Linked DNA regions of Drosophila melanogaster. The protein of the gene in region 2 purifies or fractionates together with the protein of the main gene of each other region. This does not show direct contact. Each region holds a gene or a part of one and is shown on either strand. Other genes may lie near its edges.

Region 1 (4,757 bases), 1.3 Mb from region 2:
AATGTATAACTATTTTCAGGATAACGCCTTTTGCTAACAAATAAAGTACTTATTAATTTCAAATTTTTAACAAGCTAAGTATGTATGTATCTTATTTCGGCTACCTGAGATGGCGGTGACAAATATAAAGCTGGAATCAAAGAGCAAAGTCCGACTGAGCCGCTGACCAGAAAGCCACCCACTTGCCGCCCCCAAAACCCACATACGACCCACCGAGTCACGAGTCCAATCTCCCAAAAACACCAGGCAGCAATCCAATGCACCTACCATTAATTGCTTTGGGCGTTGGTATGCCGGCCAGTTTGGCAGTCGGACAATGGCATTTGGGTTAGAGTGCTCCGCGCTGCAATCACGACCCCATTGTGACCTTTAGCAATTTCTGCGCCGACTACCAATGTCTGCCTGCCTCAGCTGCCACGCCCCCTAATTAAGGCAATGGCCGTACACCCACTGTGGGCGCGAGAAATTGTTAATTAAATATCAGTTGCAGCTACTCCTGGCTCTACGCTTTGTTGCGTGCTGGCTAATGACATGTTTATTGAGATTTCGTATCTAGCGGCTATTTAATATTTAGTCGGAATCTGATCCGGAATAGACCAAACGCGTGGGCTTGCGGATAGCACCTCCGATCGGGAGATCGTCTTCGGAACTCGATTGCTTTCCTTCCTCCTGGGAATTGGGTGAGCTCCAAGAAGCATCATCGTCCATATGATCTTCGGTATCTTCCTCGCTGCGCATTGGTTCATTCGTAACCTCCAATGCAGAGCTTGTCTCGCAATCTGCACCCTCACCGTCGTCCTCTTCGAATGCCCCTGCGTTTTTGGCCACATTGTGATCGGAGCCTTGATAGTGCCTGTCACGTTTCGGAGGATGATTCTTCATAAGCGCGCGATTCTTTTCACGACCCTCCTGGCGAAGCTTGGACAATTCCTCCTTCATGCGCCGATCATGATCGTGCTCGGGATTGGAGCCCATGTTCGTTATCACCTTAACGCACCCAGACTGTGGCTTATTCGTGGCTCGATTACGCAAGGCCTGGACATGACTCTGTCCGAAATTGGAGTCCAGCATGGGACGCACAGTCAACTTATTCTGGATCAAACCCTGAGGCTGGTAGAAGCTGCCCAGGCGAACATACAAATGGTTCTGGTTAACGGTCACCGGGTGATGCATCATATCGAAAACCTCGTTGCCCACATGAAAGGTTTCGCTGCCATCGGACCAACGAACAATTTTCGCATTGGACTCCTTGGTTTTGTTTTCGTTCTCGCGCCACCTAACAGTTGCCTTTAGACGATTTATGAAATCCTCGCGTGACTGTTCGTCCTTCAAATCATTCTTAGTCATGCGATCCTGAAAGGTTTCAGGCACGTATGCCTTGGATTCCACGGGTATGAAATAAGGCATCTTCAGAAACTGCGATGGACCTTTTAGAAGTCCACAATTTTGGGTTGTTATGGTGGTCTGGAACTTAACTGCTACATCTTTTTCAAAAGGTTTGCGTTGTTCTTCTATATCAAGAACTTGCGACTCCTTATCACCATTTACCTCTCCATTCATTCCATTTCCATTTTGATTCTTTGCATTATCACCGTAATCGAAATTTAAATCGAGACTATCAGAAGAGGCATACGACAAGACATCGGATTCCTTTTCATCTGAACTATATCGCAATTGGGACAACCTTTTTTCAATGTTGTAATTTTTTCCATTTGATTCATACTCTGTATTTGAGCTGGGACCTAATGGCACAGGATTGACCCTGGGTTTTAAAATATTACCTTCGGATGATGTCGGTGGAAATGAAGAACATTGCAATGGGAGCAATTCTTTTTCCATTGTATTACTTTTATTTATTGGGGTCGATGTAGAATGTTGCTTCGAGAGTAGGTCTTGTTCCATCTCATCAATCAATCCATTTGCTACTTCATTCGAGCTTGGAAAATTGGAAATAGAAACTGTCCCAGGGGACAATATGTTGCCCTCGTTAGAGAGCTGTTGATTATTATCTTCGTCAATGATTGTATTGAAATTGTCTTTAAGTTCTATGAGGGAAGTTGATTTTCTGATGTTAGAGACTGTTTCAGAGTCGACACTTCCCTGGTCATCACTTTCTGAAAAGCTCGGAATGCCGCCAACCTGTCCCGCAGAAGTTGTGGTTTCATTTGAGATATTTGAAGAAGATTTCGGGTTGCTCCAGTTAATAGATTTCGGTTCTGGAGCACATAATAATGATGATGAAAGCGAAGATGAAGTCGAAAACGAAGACGATTCTCCTGAATCTGGTGGACTTCCGGAGCTGGATTCAGAGGTCCAGCTTGAATTGGATGTGGAAATATATGGTCGTTCGCTTTTCGATGATGTCTTGGCGTTCAGATCAGATCGAGATTCAAGAGGTCCCTGCGATTCAGGAACACTATTTGCTGTTGAGTGAAAAGAATGTGAACGGCTTTGGTGCTGCCTTCGTGCCTTAGTTTTATTTCCTTGTTGATCAACGCTGGAGAAAGAGGGATTCGGGCTCCTGGAAAAGCCATATGGGATTACTAAGTTCTGCAGAATATATGTACCTAAACCAACCTCCTATTGAATGCAGGCCAGCTTTCGGAAGATTCACCATCTAAAGTAAAAGCGTAGATAATAATTCAATTTTTATTAATATTCTATAGACTACAAACCTTTTATTACTTGATTGTCGTGCAAATTGGGGTCAGCCATTTTTAGCGTAAGGCGAAGAGTTAGTGGAACACAATTTCTTCACAAGCAGCACAGAAAAAAAACTATATGGTTTTTTACGTAATGACAGCCGAGCCAAGTGACTGATTTATCGATTGTTTGACAGAGTTGTCTGGGCAAGAGTTGTCAGCTTTTCTAACAATCAGTGTTGTTCCCCTACTGTTTTAATTGGTTTAAAACTGTTGGAATATACTATTCAACCTACAAAAATAACGTTAAACAACACTACTTTATATTTGATATGAATGGCCACACCTTTTATGCCATAAAACATATTGTAAGAGAATACCACTCTTTTTATTCCTTCTTTCCTTCTTGTACGTTTTTTGCTGTGAGTAGGTCGTGGTGCTGGTGTTGCAGTTGAAATAACTTAAAATATAAATCATAAAACTCAAACATAAACTTGACTATTTATTTATTTATTAAGAAAGGAAATATAAATTATAAATTACAACAGGTTATGGGCCCAGTCCATGCCTAATAAACAATTAAATTGTGAATTAAAGATTGTGAAAATAAATTGTGAAATAGCATTTTTTCACATTCTTGTGAAATAGCTTTTTTTTTCACATTCTTGTGAAATTATTTCCTTCTCAGAATTTGAGTGAAAAATGGACAAGGCTAAACGTAATATTAAGCCGTTTGATGGCGAGAAGTACGCGATTTGGAAATTTAGAATTAGGGCTCTTTTAGCCGAGCAAGATGTGCTTAAAGTAGTTGATGGTTTAATGCCTAACGAGGTAGATGACTCCTGGAAAAAGGCAGAGCGTTGTGCAAAAAGTACAATAATAGAGTACCTAAGCGACTCGTTTTTAAATTTCGCAACAAGCGACATTACGGCGCGTCAGATTCTTGAGAATTTGGACGCCGTTTATGAACGAAAAAGTTTGGCGTCGCAACTGGCGCTGCGAAAACGTTTGCTTTCTCTGAAGCTATCAAGTGAGATGTCACTATTAAGCCATTTTCATATTTTTGACGAACTTATAAGTGAATTGTTGGCAGCTGGTGCAAAAATAGAAGAGATGGATAAAATTTCTCATCTACTGATCACATTGCCTTCGTGTTACGATGGAATTATTACAGCGATAGAGACATTATCTGAAGAAAATTTGACATTGGCGTTTGTGAAAAATAGATTGCTGGATCAAGAAATTAAAATTAAAAATGACCACAACGATACAAGCAAGAAAGTTATGAACGCGATCGTGCACAACAATAATAACACTTATAAAAATAATTTGTTTAAAAATCGGGTAACTAAACCAAAGAAAATATTCAAGGGAAATTCAAAGTATAAAGTCAAGTGTCACCACTGTGGCAGAGAAGGCCACATTAAAAAAGATTGTTTCCATTATAAAAGAATATTAAATAATAAAAATAAAGAAAATGAAAAACAAGTTCAAACTGCAACATCACACGGCATTGCGTTTATGGTAAAAGAAGTGAATAATACTTCAGTGATGGACAACTGCGGGTTTGTCCTTGATTCTGGTGCTAGTGACCATCTTATAAATGATGAGTCGCTGTATACCGACAGTGTGGAGGTTGTGCCTCCACTTAAGATTGCAGTGGCCAAGCAAGGCGAATTTATTTATGCCACTAAGCGTGGTATTGTCCGACTACGGAATGACCATGAGATTACACTGGAGGATGTACTCTTTTGTAAGGAAGCTGCTGGTAATTTGATGTCCGTAAAGCGTCTCCAAGAGGCAGGAATGTCGATCGAATTTGACAAAAGCGGTGTAACCATTTCGAAAAATGGGTTAATGGTTGTCAAAAATTCAGGTATGTTAAACAATGTACCTGTGATCAATTTTCAAGCATATTCTATAAATGCTAAGCATAAAAATAATTTTCGTTTATGGCATGAGAGGTTTGGCCATATAAGCGATGGCAAATTATTAGAAATAAAACGAAAGAATATGTTTAGTGATCAAAGTCTTCTAAACAACTTAGAGTTATCATGTGAAATTTGTGAACCCTGTTTAAATGGTAAACAGGCAAGACTTCCTTTTAAACAATTG
Region 2 (4,737 bases):
TTTGTGGTTCATGCTCGGCTGCGTCGCAGTCTTTGGGTCTTCTGGTGTTCTGGTCCTCAACTGCCATGGCCGCCGCCTTTTTGTCAAGTGGGAAAAGTTTTAGTAATTAAATTGTAATTAGGGATGCATCCGCCGCTCTGTGCCGTTTGTGCGTTCAATAACGCGGCTGTCTGTGCCAATTGTCTTGGCGTTTCATCAAGCCCACATTTCAGCGGCAGCCACCGACCGTGCTGATCGCCCCACGACCGGGCTTTCTTTGTGCCCAAGTCGCCATCCGTTTGCCGGTATACCCTGTAAGAGGGTAGTTCCCCCAGTAATTATCCACTTTCCATTTTCAATTGGCGGAACCATAGAAATTCTACATACTAACTGAGAAAATGTAAGGAAACCGTTCTACGATCTAAAAGAAAGAAACCCTTCTGGCAACATTCGACTCTGCTGAAACGTGTTAAAGGGTACCCATTCTTCGGTGACGTAATGTGGCAGGTATCTACGCGTAATTGACAAGACCTAACGACAGGTCCATTGTTCAAATAGCTGCAACTTTTCAGCCATTTTCATTGTAATTATTTTGTATGTGCTGCCTGGGCCTCTTTATGGCTTATCTGCCGGCAATCGTCATGAGCGGTGAGCAGGCCCAAGCCCCAAGTGGGGCTACGATGGCGTTGCAATGGGAGTTGTCGCTGCTCCTAATTACCAGGCGGAAGTGTCTCAGATCTTTCCCTCAACTGGCCGGTTACGGCTTTTGATCAGCCGGGCAAATTGCAGGAGGCAGCCGTAGAAAGGGTTCAGTCCATGGCCAACCTCGCGTCTTCTCTTCCACTTCCACACCGGATGCTGTCTTGGGAAAAAGCAATACAATTTTCGCAAACTGCGGCGCTTAAGTGCAGCTCGGCGATAATCATAATCATCCCGGGCGGCACTCAATGCCAGTAGCAGTTGATCAACCGATCAAATCAGCTGGTGCTGATTAGATGGCTCTGTGGCAACCGAACAACCCAACAGCTCAGCAATCCGGCAATGCGGCAATCTAGAGTGGAGCACGAACCAATTGGCTGATGTACGTGCGGCGCGTAAATTCAATTTCAGTAGCTGATGAACAAAAGCGCAGACCATGGGTTCGCTGATGGATTGCTGGTCAGTGCACTCGGAAAAAATATGACAGCCGCTGTGGGAAGATATTTTAATAGACATTCATGGCCAATATTGTTTTACACCGAAAAATGATGGAAATTGATTTGCAGATATAATAAATAAAGAAATGTTCCGTTCAGGATATTTTTAAATACTCTTAGTTAGTTGTTTGTACAATAATTTGTATCAAGGTGATGTGTTTTCCAAACGAAGATATTATGAGGAATAGTTTTCCCAGTGACTCCCGGCAGTTTCTGTTTTTATTCCGAGTGTGGGATAAATCGGTTTGCGTCTGCGACTTAACGAGAAATCAACGCCGCTAAGCAAATTATGCCGAACGATACGCATGCGCCAAAGCCATCAGACATCAGCCATCAGCTGGAGTCTGAGTTCGAGTTGGAGCAGCAGCTCGCCGCAGCTAGAGCATCATCATATGACCGGGCTGGGGCCTTCGAGTGGATCTGGGTATGGGTATGGGACTGGGACTGGGTCTGGGTCTGGGAAAGGCAATTGCCATCAAAGGCGATGCCGAGCGAGCTGCCAGCCGGCTGGCCTGAAATTGATTTAGCCACCTCGGACGAGCAGGCTGACCTCACTACTGTTTTTACGCCTTAAGCAGAATCTCATCAAGACGTAATGACAACAATTGATCAATCGCTGGCCAGGCTAATGGTTATGATGGGTCTCGTTGGGAAATCAGTTTATATTAAAATGTAATTTGATTGCGGTTGTGCACACAGAGGTGAACGCGGAGTAAGTAATTCTACAGTTTGTGGATATTTTTATGTTGAAGATATTCCAATCATATATAACAAAAAGCTCATATACTCAGGGGTGTTGATAAAACTTGAGAAAAAGCTGATGAAATATCTATTATCTCTGCACTATAATTTTGTTTGTACTTTTTTACATATAGTAAATATGAAGAATATGATTTTTGGTTGTCCACTGGGTTCCGCAGTTTAAAAGCAAAGTCTTCTTCTGTTTGGATTTAGAGGAATATATTTTCTCTTGAAAACTACTCACCCTGCTCTTCGTCAAAGTTTTTGGTGGACAGCTGGAAGAGGGCATCCAAGGGAGTGTCTCCACTTGATTTGCTGGCCCCCTTTGGTTGTTCCTCGGGCGACTTCTTAGGAACCTCCATTCTGTCCTCTTGGGAACGTTTTTCCACTTTTTCCGCCTGGGTGGGACTGCAGCATTCGGTGCTGCCATTGCTGCTGCTTGATCGCTGGGAACGCTCTGAACTGCCGTCCTCGGAGGCAATGATCGCGGGATTCAGGGTCATCTGCCGGAGGAGTTGCGCCTGTGCCTGGAAGTGCTCCTGGAGCTGGCGCTGGTAGTCCCAGGCCAGTCGCTGCTCATAGCTGTGGAGCAAAGCGGGCGATAAAAATGTATGTAGTGCAGCCGGCGGAGGGCAATTCGGCACCAAGGGTATTTGCAATCTTTCGTTGATCAGAGCCAATGGAGCAGGTACTCCTGGTAAAGCATTGGGAATGGCAATTCTCTCCGGCTTCTTCTCCACACGATCCTCTTCATGCCCTCGCCCCAGGATATCGGCAATGGAAAAGCTCTTGACCCTGACGGGTGATGACTTTTGGCGGTCATGTTCCAGGCTAATAGGACTCCTCAAAAGCCGCAATCGTTTCATATTCAACGATCTCAGAGGCGGTGGACTGGGCGAACCCACCGAAACATCAGAGTTAGCGGGACTGGGAGTTCTTTGCGGCATCTCTAGGTGTATTTTCCTTTGGCCACTCAGCACATCCTGGCTGTATCCTTACGGCTTAGCTCCAAACTCTTTTCTACGGGCGATTAAAAACGCGTCGGCAAAACGCGCGGCTGTCACACGAAAAACGTCGGCACAACGTGCAACACAAACACCAACAACGAAAATGGCTCGTGGCCAGAATGCGATGCTAATGCTGCTCGGCTCTCTGTCTCTCTTTCTTGGCCAAGCTCTCTCAACTGCTTTTTGGGGCCTCCAAACTGGTTGGCACCCATGACGTCACGGACTCGCGCAGCTGCGCAGCTTGTCTAATTGGAAACGCCGCCTCGCTCTCGCCAAGGGGGCGTGCCAGCAGAAAAGAGAGAGATGGAGAGAGGGAGAGCTAACCAGAGGACCAATAGCAGTTGGTCGAGGGCCATACAGACCCCCTCACCCGACCAAAAGTCGCTGTCAACGTGCGAACGTCATTAATTTGTACAATTTGACATGCGCTCTCTTTCCTCCCTCTCTCTCTCTCTCTCATTCTCGCTCTCTCTCTGGGGCGGCACTATTTCCCTCTCTTTCCCGTCGCTTTCCAGGCGACTGACTGCGTTAATTATCGTAATTGTTGGCTCACCCGCTTTTTCGCAGCTCTCTTTTGGCCCACTCAATTGTCATCAATAATGATGTCTCGTTGTACCGTTGGCTTCGACTCCTCATCTATTTTCCACTGGAAAAACAAGCCTCTTCGAATCCGTGTTTCGAGACCTCTGATGCACTGGGAAAAACAGTTCCCCGAACTGACAATCCTTCGTTCAAGAACGTCTTTTTGAAAGAGGTTTATTTGTCATAAATAGATGTGCCTATGAAAAATATTATAGTAATGTAAAAATGTCTTTCTCCCTCAAACTTCCTCAACATAAATTAAAAAGCGAACGAATTCTGCACCTCAAAAGTAATAACCTATAAATGGCACAACATGACAGTTACTTTGCTCTTCACATTTATTACTTGTTAACTTGAGATCGTTGTTAGATCTAATAACTAGCTGCATCTTGTTAGTTAGTTAGTTTCTCTACACACAATTTATGATTATATTATTTTATATTTTCCCATTTATATTTCCATTTGTTTAAGTGCATTTTGCTGGCACACATTCGTTTGTCTTGCCACTTCCCTCGCTTCCCACTCCACAGCTCAACTCAATGCATTTCCAAATTGATTGCAACTTTGGTCCGCTCGTTGTATCACGTATGCGCCCTGTATGCGCCTCGCTTCGTTTGTTTGTCAGTGTCAGTTTTTTATTCAATTTCGCTCCGCTGTTTGTCCTGGTTTTCTTTTTTATTTCTCGCTTTTCCTTGAATTTTGCATGCAAATGTCTATTTAACTGCATTGCGCCCTTTGCCGGTGGGAATGTGACTGAAGAGTCGGCTAAGTGAAATGATGTAACTGGCGAGCCGTAATCGATAATGGGTTCTACACTGCCCTTTGAAAACGAGTATAATTGATTATTTCGAGATGGGAAAAGAAATCAGGGGAAGTGGCAATTTCAACAAATTTGTGTTTGTATCTGTTTATTAAAGCGCGGAGCATCAATTACCAATGATTATTGGGCTCATCAAGGGCTTACAACAAATTGGACTTTTACACTACATAGTATGGGCAAATTAGCTTTTAATGTTTAACGTATAAAATTACAAAATAATAACTTGATCCAGCAAAAGTACACAGGTACCCAGCTGACAAAATGAGTAGCACAGTATGTTAATATAAAATCCAGTTTATTCAGTCTCTTGAAAGGGTGTTGTTTAGATGTATTTTACCCGAACCCTACATCGCAATTTATGACGCTGAATTTGCATAAGGGCCCTTCTCCAATCCCTTCGACTGCCCCCTAT

What was found.
Region 1: the proteins of lbl (region 2) and CG10887 purify together in Drosophila melanogaster (affinity purification with mass spectrometry, with the first as the bait; one large-scale study listed by BioGRID). This does not show direct contact.

What each region holds. Positions count from the first base shown.
Region 1 is NT_033777.3:20,112,897-20,117,653, reverse strand, and holds CG10887 (uncharacterized protein), read right to left. Parts: upstream 2,817-4,757; 5' UTR 2,716-2,816; coding exon 2,676-2,715; intron 2,618-2,675; coding exon 2,578-2,617; intron 2,522-2,577; coding exon 571-2,521; 3' UTR 515-570; downstream 1-514.
Region 2 is NT_033777.3:21,431,105-21,435,841, forward strand, and holds the start of lbl (ladybird late), read right to left. Parts: upstream 3,030-4,737; 5' UTR 2,864-3,029; coding exon 2,161-2,863; intron 1-2,160.